Ovis aries: one gene and its partner. The protein of the gene in region 1 interacts with the protein of each later gene in a pairwise test. Links are inferred from orthologs where the notes say so. Each region holds a gene or a part of one and is shown in the gene's direction. Other genes may lie near its edges.

Evidence for each region.
Region 2: the proteins of SDCBP2 (region 1) and FAM133A interact in binary tests that used the Homo sapiens proteins (3 or more experiments, as listed by UniProt). The two-hybrid records come from large-scale screens. The link is inferred for Ovis aries from reciprocal best matches to the Homo sapiens genes SDCBP2 and FAM133A.

What each region holds. Positions count from the first base shown.
Region 1 is NC_056066.1:59,464,014-59,468,972, forward strand, and holds part of SDCBP2 (syntenin-2), read left to right. Parts: intron 1-2,071; coding exon 2,072-2,230; intron 2,231-3,012; coding exon 3,013-3,188; intron 3,189-3,267; coding exon 3,268-3,439; intron 3,440-4,959.
Region 2 is NC_056080.1:140,887,747-140,893,436, reverse strand, and holds the start of FAM133A (protein FAM133A), read left to right. Parts: upstream 1-2,426; 5' UTR 2,427-2,836; exon of another isoform or gene 2,837-2,987; intron 2,988-3,142; exon of another isoform or gene 3,143-3,364; intron 3,365-3,630; 5' UTR 3,631-3,700; intron 3,701-5,690.

The sequences.
Region 1 (4,959 bases):
TTTCATTGTATTAAAAGAGTTTTTTGGAGAACAAAAAGTTTTCAATTTTGATGAGGTTCAATTTATTGATTTTTCTCTTTGGGGATCATGCCTTGGTGTCCTAAGAAACTTGACTGAGCTCTAGGTTTCTGAAAAAATTTCCCTTTTACTTCTGAAACTCTTATAGTTTTTTGTTTAAATTTATGATTGAACTTGAGTTAATCTTTGCATAAGGCATGAGGTCACGATTCATATTTTGCCTGTGGCTGTTCAGTTGCTCCCATGCCATTTGTTGAAAAGGCTCTTCTGTCTTCACTAAATCGTTCTCACACCTCTGTTAAGAAGCAGTTGCCCCTACTTGTGTGAGGCTATTTCTGGATATTCTCTCTTCTGCTCCAAAGGTCTGTCTCTCCCCAGTACCACACTATCTTGATGACTGTAGCTACACAGAAAGTCTGGAAATCTGGTAGAGTGATTTCTCCTGTTTTTTTCTTTTTTGTCAGACTAGTTTTAGCTATTCTAGTTCCTTTGTGTTTTCATGTAAAGTTTAGATTAACCTTGCCTCTATCTACAAAACATACAGACTGTGATAGGAAATGCATTAAATATGTATATCAATTTGTGGACAGTTGACAGCTTCGTCTAGTTTTTCTGATCCATCAATACAAAATATTTCTTTATTTATTTAGACCTTTGATCAGGCTTCCCCAATAGCTCAGTTGGTAAAGAATCCGCCTGCAATCCGCCTGCAGGAGACCCCGGGTTGATCCCTGGGTCAGGAAGATCCGCTGGAGAAGGGAAAGGCTACCCACTCCAGTATTTGTGGGCTTCCCTTGTGGCTCAGCTGATAAGGAATCTGCCTGCAATGCGCGAGACCTGGGTTCAATCCCTGGGTTGGGAAGATCTCCTGGAGAAGGGAAAGGCTACTCACTCCAGTATTCTGGCCTGCAGAATTCATCCATGGGGTGAAAGGAGTTGGACACAGCTAAGTGACTTTCACTATCAAACTCACAATACACTATATTAAAAACAACAGTAATGAGTACTCAAAATTTATCTTTTTAATAACGTCACTATTTTCTACTAATATCTATCCTACTGAGGTTATTTCAGTTTTTATCTAAAGGTAGAAATATCATATGATGATGTGATGAGAATTCCATGGATTGTACATTCCATGGGGTTGCAAAGAGTCAGACACGACTGAGCGACTTTCATTTCAGTTCACTTCACTTCTTTGATCTCTATTATCAGTGTTTTGTCATTTCCAGCATACAATTCCTGTATATGTTTTATTAGCTCCACACCTAAGTATTTCTTTTTTTTTTTTAGCGATTGTAAGTGGTATTGTATTTTTAATTTCAGTTTCCACGTATTCATTGTTAGTATATAGAAGTACAATTGATTCTTTTGGTATGCATTGGTCTTGTGTCCTGTGACCTTGTTGAACTCACTTATGAGTTCTAGGAGTTGATCTGTAGATTCTTTGGAATTTTCTAGTAAAGCATCGTCTCATCTGAAAATAGGGACCATTTTATGTTTTCTTTTCCAATCTATATGTCTTTTATTTCCTGTCCTTGCCTTACTAATCTGGCTAGTTCTTCCATTACTGTATTTAACAGTAGTGGTGGGAGTGGACATCTTTGCCTTGTTCCAGATCTTTTGATGGGGGGAATAGTATTCACTCATCTTGATACTTTTGACAAATTTTTTTTCAAGGCAGAAATCAACTTGAGCTCCTTTACCCCCTCATTGTTCACGATTTTCTGTGAATCTTTTAAAGTGGATTTAAAAAGGTTCTTCTGACACCAAGTTGTCTTGGAAAATGAAGACCCTTTTTCTATAATACGCACCTGTCCTCCCGGCTCTATTTTCCTGGCTGTGTTTTTTTGGGGTGTGGACTTTGACGCCCCCTAGCGGCTTCATGGCGCCATGTGTCCTCTTGCTCGCAAGAGGTGTGTGTGTGGTCTGCGGTGGGCTGGAGCTCAGGGTCCACCCGGTTCTCTTTTGCCAATCCCTGTTCCCACGCTTGGACCCTTGAGGCACGAGGCCCCACGGCGCTGGCTGACCTCTTCTCCCCTGTGGTCTGCAGGCAGCGGTCTCGGGCCCATCGCCGGGCCAGGTGGTGGCGCCGGTGTCCGGGAACAGCCTGGGCGCACTGCGTGCGGAGATCAAGCCCGGGGTGCGCGAGATCCACCTATGCAAGGACGAGCGTGGCAAGACCGGGCTGCGGCTGCAGGCCATCGACAAGGTGGGGCTGGGGTCGGGCGGGAGGGGAGGGGCCCCGCGGAACGCAGAGAGAGATTGCGTGCTGGACTGCGCCTGCCTGCGGCCCGAGCTGCCCGGGGGAGCCAAGGTTCACCTGAGCCCTAGACAGGCTCGTCCTTTCCATCGCCTCCCATAAGGCGCTTGCTCTGGGCTTGCTCTGGGTTGTGCTAGGGACCCTCCACTTGCCCCTCCTGGGACTTCATGCCTCCTTGCTCCCCACTCACAGGGATCTGGCTTCTGGGAGGCTTTCTGAAGACAGTGTAAGGCGAAGGGTGTGGCGGGGTTGGTTCAGATGCCAGCATGAGAGGCCTTGTAGTCTAGTGACTGGGGATGCAACCACTAGTTGGAATTCCTGAAAGTGTTAGTTACTCAGCCACGTCCAGCTCTTTGTGACCTCATGTACTGTAGCCTGCCAGGCTCCTCTGTCTGTGGAATTCTCTAAGCAAGAATAGTGGAGTGGGTAGCCATGCCCTTCTCTAGAAGATCTTCCCAACCCAGGGATTGACCGAGCCTCCTGCATTGCAGGCAGATGCTTTATCATCTGAGATACTGGGAAAACTCCTGAATTCCTGACTCCGTTGCTTCCTAGCTGTGTGGCTCACTTCCTCACCAGGAAAATGGGGTACCCTGTATGTTGCTGTACAGAGCTGCAGTCCCAGGGCCCAGTAGGCTCTGAGAAGATCAGGAGGCAAACAGCAGCCCAGGAGGAGGCACCTGGGCTCAGGTTGGGCTGGGGGAACTGACTGGGGGGCTTGCCTCCTCCAGGGGCTCTTCGTGCAGCTGGTCCAGGCCAACACCCCTGCATCCTTGGTGGGGCTGCGCTTTGGGGACCAGATTCTGCAGATTGATGGACGTGACTGTGCTGGGTGGAGCACAGACAAAGCCCACCAGGTGGTGAAGAAGGCATCTGCCGAGAAGATTGTCATAGTCGTTCGGGACAGGTGAGCACCCGGGTCCCAGGAGCCTGTCTGTCTGCCCTTGGTTATGCCCCAGGCCCAGCTCACCATCCCTCCCTGCCAGGCCGTTCCAGCGGACCATCACCATGCACAAGGACAGCACAGGCCACGTCGGCTTCGTCATCAAGAAGGGGAAGATCATCTCTTTGGTCAAAGGGAGCTCTGCGGCCCGCAATGGGCTTCTCACCAACCACTATGTGTGTGAGGTGAATGGGCAAAACGTCATCGGGCTGAAGGTAAGCAAGGCGGAGCATGGCTCCATCCCAGGACCTCAGGGACTGGGTGATTGAGAGGTGGTGGGAAGGTTCGTGTCTGTGGGTGGGCTGCCGCCCCCACCCAGCTTCAGATCCTCATCCTAAGGCTGCTGCAGGGATTCAATGAGACAAAGGTACAAGTGCTCCGAGCACAGTGCAGACACTGAGTGCTCAGTAAATGCTCGGTGTTGTTACTTACTCATGAAGGCCAGAGGTGTGACAGCAAGTGGTGGTGGCGGTGATGACGTGTGTAAGGAAACAGGTGTCCGGGGCAGGGGTGAGGGGCTCCTGGCTGCATGGACTACTCTGTGTGATATTTCGGTTTGTATCCTGGATCATGTTCACTAATAGGAATATTTTAGGAAATGGCTCTTCAGAAGCCCATTGCCTACCTCTTTCCTCTCCCCAACAGTGTGTGTGTGTGGTGAGTTTTATCTTTAAATACAAGAAGGAGCAAATGGTCTGGGGCCAGTGCTGTGATGTAGACTAGGGGACAGGGTGGGTGCCTTCGGGGAATGGACCCCAGAAGAGGATGAGTCACATGGCTTCTGGTCCCTGGACAAATGAGAGCGGTTTATTCTGGTTGATGCCACCAGGACTGAAAGCGGTTCTTAATTCCAGTTGTGATTTAGAGTGAGGGTCCCCCCACTCCAGCATCCAGGGCTTTGGGGCTCGCAGGCAGGTGGAGGTGGCCTGGGGGGTCTTGCCATCTCATCCCACAGATGACACAGTCTTGTGAGCCACTCCCCCTCCCTCATAAGGGCCATCCCCAGGTCACTCTTGTCACACATCTTCTCCCCTGTGCCTGACGGTCTGGTCCCATCTGGCACATCTTCTCCCACTGATCCTGGCACAGCTAGGAAAACACACAGCCAAGTCGGGGGTCTATGTAAAGTCAAGGTCACGGTCTCCAGGTAAGGGCCAGAGGCTCGGCTCGTGCGTTAGCATTCAGCTTTGGGTTGTTCGGCACACTCTCTGTAGGTGCTTCTTGTGTCTTGTTCTCCCCACAATCTGAACGGCTTCTGCAGGCCTTTCTTTTTGCTGGTCAACAAGATTAAGAGGAAGAGGTACCCCACGGCCTCGGCTCAGGCTGACAGGAGCCCAGAGAAGAGGGTGGGTGGGTGTGCCTACTGTCCCCCCTTGTCCCCCCACTGCAGTGTGGTTCTCTTTCTGCTTTGAGGTCAGAATCCTGGTGTGACTGGGGCCCAGGAGACGGCATACACATGTGGTTGGTGGGATTCCCGGGGCTCTTTGGGGGAAGTCATGTCCGTGAGGCCTTTTGGTGTCAGGCCCACATAGGCCCTTGAGGTGAGGGTAGGAGAGGTCAGTCTGTTTTACTGAGAGAGCCTCAGATGGGAGGCCCACATTCTTGCTTGAGCTGGGGGCCTGCCACCCTCACTCAAGGGGCAACCTATTCCCTACCGTCATTGTCAGTGGTGGACTCCAGCAGGGCCACGCTGACCACTTCACAGAGGTGCCTCAGAGTTGCCCCTGGCCCCCAA
Region 2 (5,690 bases), on another chromosome or scaffold:
ATAGCATGATACACTTTATTTGACATTTCTTTATTTTAGGTTGCAATAGAACATGAAAAATAAATACCAAATGATATAAAGTGATCATTTCCAGTGAAAGGCAAAATAGAACATATTACAAAGAAAATGTGGTTAGTACCTTTAGTTCACAGTTACACAGGATAAGATGAGCAGAATTTTTAAAAAAATGCTATGTTATATTAACACCTCAGTAGTAAACAGTAACTTCATTATCCTTAAATTTATAAATCACTATGTCACATTAACATGCTCAGTCATATCATACATGGTTTGATGGACATTATTAAATGTATGGTAATCTTTTTTCAAGCAGTCAAATTTCACAATGCACTGTTCAAGATAGTATAATATTGTATTTCTGTAGCAAATGAAAGCACAGCTAGTACAAAGCAGATTTAAAGCCTTAGTCTTCCAGTCTGGGAAAAAAAAAAAAAAAAAAAAACACTTGCATTGATATTTCAGGAACTTTGTTTTATTTCAAGGAAATATTGTCTTGGTTAACAATTCTTACAGTTTTCACAGCTATATTGTAATAGGAACACAACAAAAAATTTCACAAAAATTAGAACCTTGTAGCACCAAACAACATGCTTTAGACAACTGACAGCAAGTTACACGTTTTGAAGAATATTACACAACAACAGGCTAGATAGAATTTAAGACAATTTAAGACAATATTTTAGGCTATGAAGAAAGTACAAAAACTCAAGACTATGAGGAATACTAGTGTTGAGATTACAGGGCAGGTTTTTTCAAGGCTATATAAACCTGTTTCATTTCTGCTTGAAATTTGAGATTCCTGAAAATTCTTTCATGCAGCCTCTTTTATATTTTCGTTATTTCCTATTTCCATAGTCTTTATGGACTCATAGGTACCATTGACTTCTCTTGTATAGTAATAGATTGATTTCAGGATGACGTTATCATGCAAAGTTTGACCAATTTCAAAATCTTCATCAAGGATAGCATCTTCTCGTGGTTCAAGCTTTCCGATAGTAGGAATCTCAGGAGGGCTAAAGATATTGAAGAATGATGCATCAGGAACCACTCTTGGCTGGGTTTCAACTTGTCCAGTAGCTGCTGTGCAACTCTGGGTGGTTGTCATTGTAACATCCTTTCCTCTTCTCCAATCTTACAGCCTTTGCAATCTTGGATTTCCCAGTCCCAAGAGAAGAAGGGATCATTGTGATCTGGCTTTGACTTTATTATATATCTCTTGGTCAGCACCTCATTCTTGAAGTATGGATTGGGTAGAAAGCAAAATTCAAATGTGTAACTTACAGGCCTGCTGGGTTTTTAAAACTTCAGGCTAACATCAGACAGAAGTTCAGAATGGGCTCATCATACTTCTGAATCATGGGCCCCAGCTTGTCAACATTCTTGAACACAGTCAGCCAATAGTCAGGAATGCCTTTAGGATCTTATCTTTTAGGCTTTCCTTTTCGAGCTCTTTTAAGAGCTCTATCTTTAGGCGTGACCTCAGGAACTCTTTTTGGAGCCTCTTTTCCTGGAGTCCTTGCCTTAGCCTCTGCTGCTTTAGCCTGCCCTTTATCTTCTGCCTTTGCCTGGAGGGCTTATTTTGGATCTTCTTTTACTTCAGGCCTGGCCTCCAGAGCATCTTTGGACTGTGCTTTTTCTTCAGTCTTTGCTTCGGAATTTTCTTTTGGTGTTACATTTTCTTCAGCCTTGACCTCAGGTTTTGCTTCCAGGTCATCCTCTTCTTCCTCACTCTCTAAAGCAGGCATCTCACTAGAGTCTTCCTGCATCTCTTCATCGCTGCTGAACACCTCATCCTCCGAATTCCATTCACATTTTTCTTCCGTGGGCTCATATTCTGCATTGATGATTTGGAATCGCCGGTTGTACAGAGCCCTATTGAGTTCGGCATATTTTCGTTCGAGATCATGAACTGCCTTTAAGAACAGGGCGTCTACCTTGTCACATTCGTCTTGAATATTTCTGAGAGCCTGCACACGATTTCTAACCGCCCGAGGCAGCTGATCCACGAAACTTCTACCTGACGGAGCCCGCCTCACACTTCTGGAGGGCCCAGGTACACTTATACGTCTATAGAATGGGCTGCGGCCACTGCTGCTACTGCAACTACTGCTGCTGCTACAGCTGCTGCTGTCAGATTCGTCCCCAGAATCGCTAGACGAGATAGCTACCATCTCTCCATCCACCCCCTGGGCGGCAGGTTCCGAGACCCTGTTAGGATCCGCTTCTGCCATTCTGCAAGTCTGCAAACCTCTTAGGTGGTCACTACCGCGTGCCCAGAGATGGGTAGAAAATGACTCACGGATGCTTGGGTGGTGGCGGCGGAAGCCGGGGCTGAGGAAGTGGCAGCGGTGAAGGCAGCAGGAGCGCTGGGCGGGGCGCGGCTGGGCCGAGGTGACTGCACCGGAGGTGGCGGCGGCAGCGGAGGCCTGGGCGACAGTGGTGGAGGCAAGGCCTCTCTGACCTGCAGCTGCGGCGGACTGAGGTGTGACGCAGCTGAATATCGCACTGCGAGAGCCCGAGATCTCTTCACTGCTTACATCTTGAGCCCCCTCCCCTCGCAGTCAGACCTCCAGTTCCTTTAGTTCCCAGTGTGCCTTTAGCTCGCACCTCATTTGCTAGACAAACTTGATTGACCTTGATTGACAATGCATCAGCCCAATAAGTGCGCAAGCACACCGCCGCCTCTAGGCTCCGCCTTCCTTTCCAGTCGCTCCTTGGTTGCTGAGGCACACACCACTGAAGACTTTTTTCCCCTTAAAATTCTGTCTTTATAGTTTTATAATTTCAAAAAAAAAAAAAAAAGCTTAGATATGAGGTAAAAATACTAGTCATGGTTCCTAACAAGGGAAGAGGAGTACGCTCCCATCCACTCATCCTTAATTCCCATTTGGTTTGTCAGGGGCCTCGTGACAAAAAGCTGTTCTTAAAAAATTGGAAGAAAATGCTCCAAATGGCATCATTGGATAGTATGATTATGGATTTCTTTTTAAATTCTCTTTCTTTTATCTGAATGTCTTATGAGCATGTATTTTTACACTGGGTAAAAAGGGGGAGTCGTTTATTGGCGAAGGGGGGAGGGGCTAGAAAGCAGGCATATTGAATTCCACGTAGCAGCTTTAATAAGTGCTGTTTGTGATGTTTGGCAAGCCTGTTTTATATCCATCTACAAGGTTTGCGAACCCATGTTGCCGTGAGTCAGTTACACCATTTTTTTTTACTGTATTTCTCTTTTTAATCTGACATGTCATAGACCCTGTCCTTGCTGGTGATTTGCCACGTAGTCTTTCTCCATGCTTTTAACAATCTTGTAGATAAAAAGGATAAACGGGCATTCAAATGTTAGGTAGTAGTATTTAAAAGCAGATGGTTTATTCTATACTTTTGTGGCAGCAGCTTTTAATTTCACGAATAGCAGGATGGGAGGGGGAATGTGTTGATGAAACTGCATCCTCTGTCAGGGTGTACTTTACAATGGCATCTGCCACCAGTTTCCTTCTAACATTGTACAATTCTAGCCATACTGAAGTATGATTTACAGGTTCAGTAATAGATGAATACACTTTTGCAAAATGAAGTTTAAAAACAGGTATCTGTTATTTTTATTTACAGGATTCTTTTCTGCAACAGAACGACTCCCTTGGTACAACCAAAAAGACCAGTGTTTACTTTTCATTGAAAGGTAAGGAACATATTTAGCCCATTTTTATGAATGACAAGAATTACCTATCTATATTTAAATAAAAATTCACAAGATGTAGCCTTTTATTTGGAAGATATCTTGTTAGTTCCATGGAAGCAGAAAAATCCACAGAGGTGATTTGGAATACTAATGTAGAAAATAACCTAATTAATCACATTCACTTTTCTGAACTTGCTCATAGACTACAAGTAACAAATTAAAATATAAAATATGATGAATTATTCATTTCAAATGAGGAAAAGTATTAAAGTTAGATTACCTCTTATCTTTCCTTTTTATTACAGAATTTGTGCTTATTTAGTTGTATTTTTTAAGTTAGGAAACACTTTTATTTCTATTTTATAAATGAATTTACTTTTATTATTTACTCCTGATTGTCAAAGTATGTAAGTATTGTAAGGAAAAATACAGCATAGAAAATTTCAATGGTAATACAAACACAATCAAATGATAACCACTGTTAGAATTTTGATGCATTTTCTTCCAGAATTTTCTTTGTAAATATATACATATGCCTGTTTACACATGCTGTTTTATCTATGTGACATCATATTGTGTTTTGTAATCTGCTTATTTATCAATTAATTGTGGCTATATTTTCACAGTAAATGGTTGAACATCTCATTTTTAAATAGATGCATATTCCATGAAAATATTTCCCGTAGTTTAACCAGATTCCTATTGTACAGCAGCTACTTATACTACCTCTCTACTAGTAGACGTATTTTTCCTGTTAGAAAATAGTTATCTCAGATACCTACTCTATGCACTTGTAAAAATTAGCCATATGATGAATTCCTAGAAATGAGAGTCCTGAAATAAACTGCCTGATCATTTTACTCTTTGATACATAGTGCAAAACTTCTCTCCAGAAAAAATTATCACAATTTGCAATTATACCAACAATGCATCAGTTCATTTATTTAGTCATTCAACTATTATATTTTTGTGCCTGCCATGTGCCAGGCACATGTGGTAGAGGAAGATGATATAAGTCTCACTAAAACTTACTGGGTGCATATCCTTTCATTTTTATAATTTTAATTAAAATATATACTATAGAAACAATGATTTAAATCAATGAAGCTATGCTGTAAATATTGTTCTATAAATTATTATTTTCCCTTAAAATGATGGACACATTTTGTTAATGAAGGAAGTTATATTTTATAGTACTTTAATGGTTTAATATACATGTTAAGTTTTGTACCAACAAGAATTAGTATTTTGGTTCTTTTTTAATTTTTTAAATTTTTTTATTTTACTTTACAATACTGTATTGGTTTTGCCATACATCAACATGAATCCACCACAGGTGTACATGTGTTCCCAATCCTGAATCCCCCCTCCCACCTCCCTCCCCATACCATTTCTCTGGGTCATCCCAGCACACCAACCCCAAGCATCCTGTATCCTGCATCGAACCTAGACTGGCAATTCATTTCTTATATGATATTATACATGTTTCAATGCCATTCTCCCAAATCATCCCACTCTCTCCCTCTCGCACAGATCCAAAAGACTGTTCTATACATCTGTGTCTTTTGCTGTCTTGCATACAGGGTTATTGTTACCATCTTTCTAAATTCCATATGTATGCGTTAGTATACTGTATTGGTGTTTTTCTTTCTGGCTTACTTCACTCTGTATAATAGGCTCCAGTTTCATCCACCTCGTTAGAACTGATTCAGATGTGTTCTTTTTAATGGCTGAGTAATACTCCATTGTTTATAATAGCCAGGACATGCAAGCAACCTAGATGTCCATCAGCTGATGAATGGATAAGAAAGCTGTGGTACATGTACCCAATGGAGAATTAGTATTTTGAAGTAAGCAGTGAGTTTGGGATTCAGACTTTTTAATGTATTTTTATTAGCTAGTTAATTTTCTGAGTATCACTTATTTGATAATCTTTCTATCTCACACATATTTGAAGTGTCACCTTTATTGTATTAACTAAATCATTTGG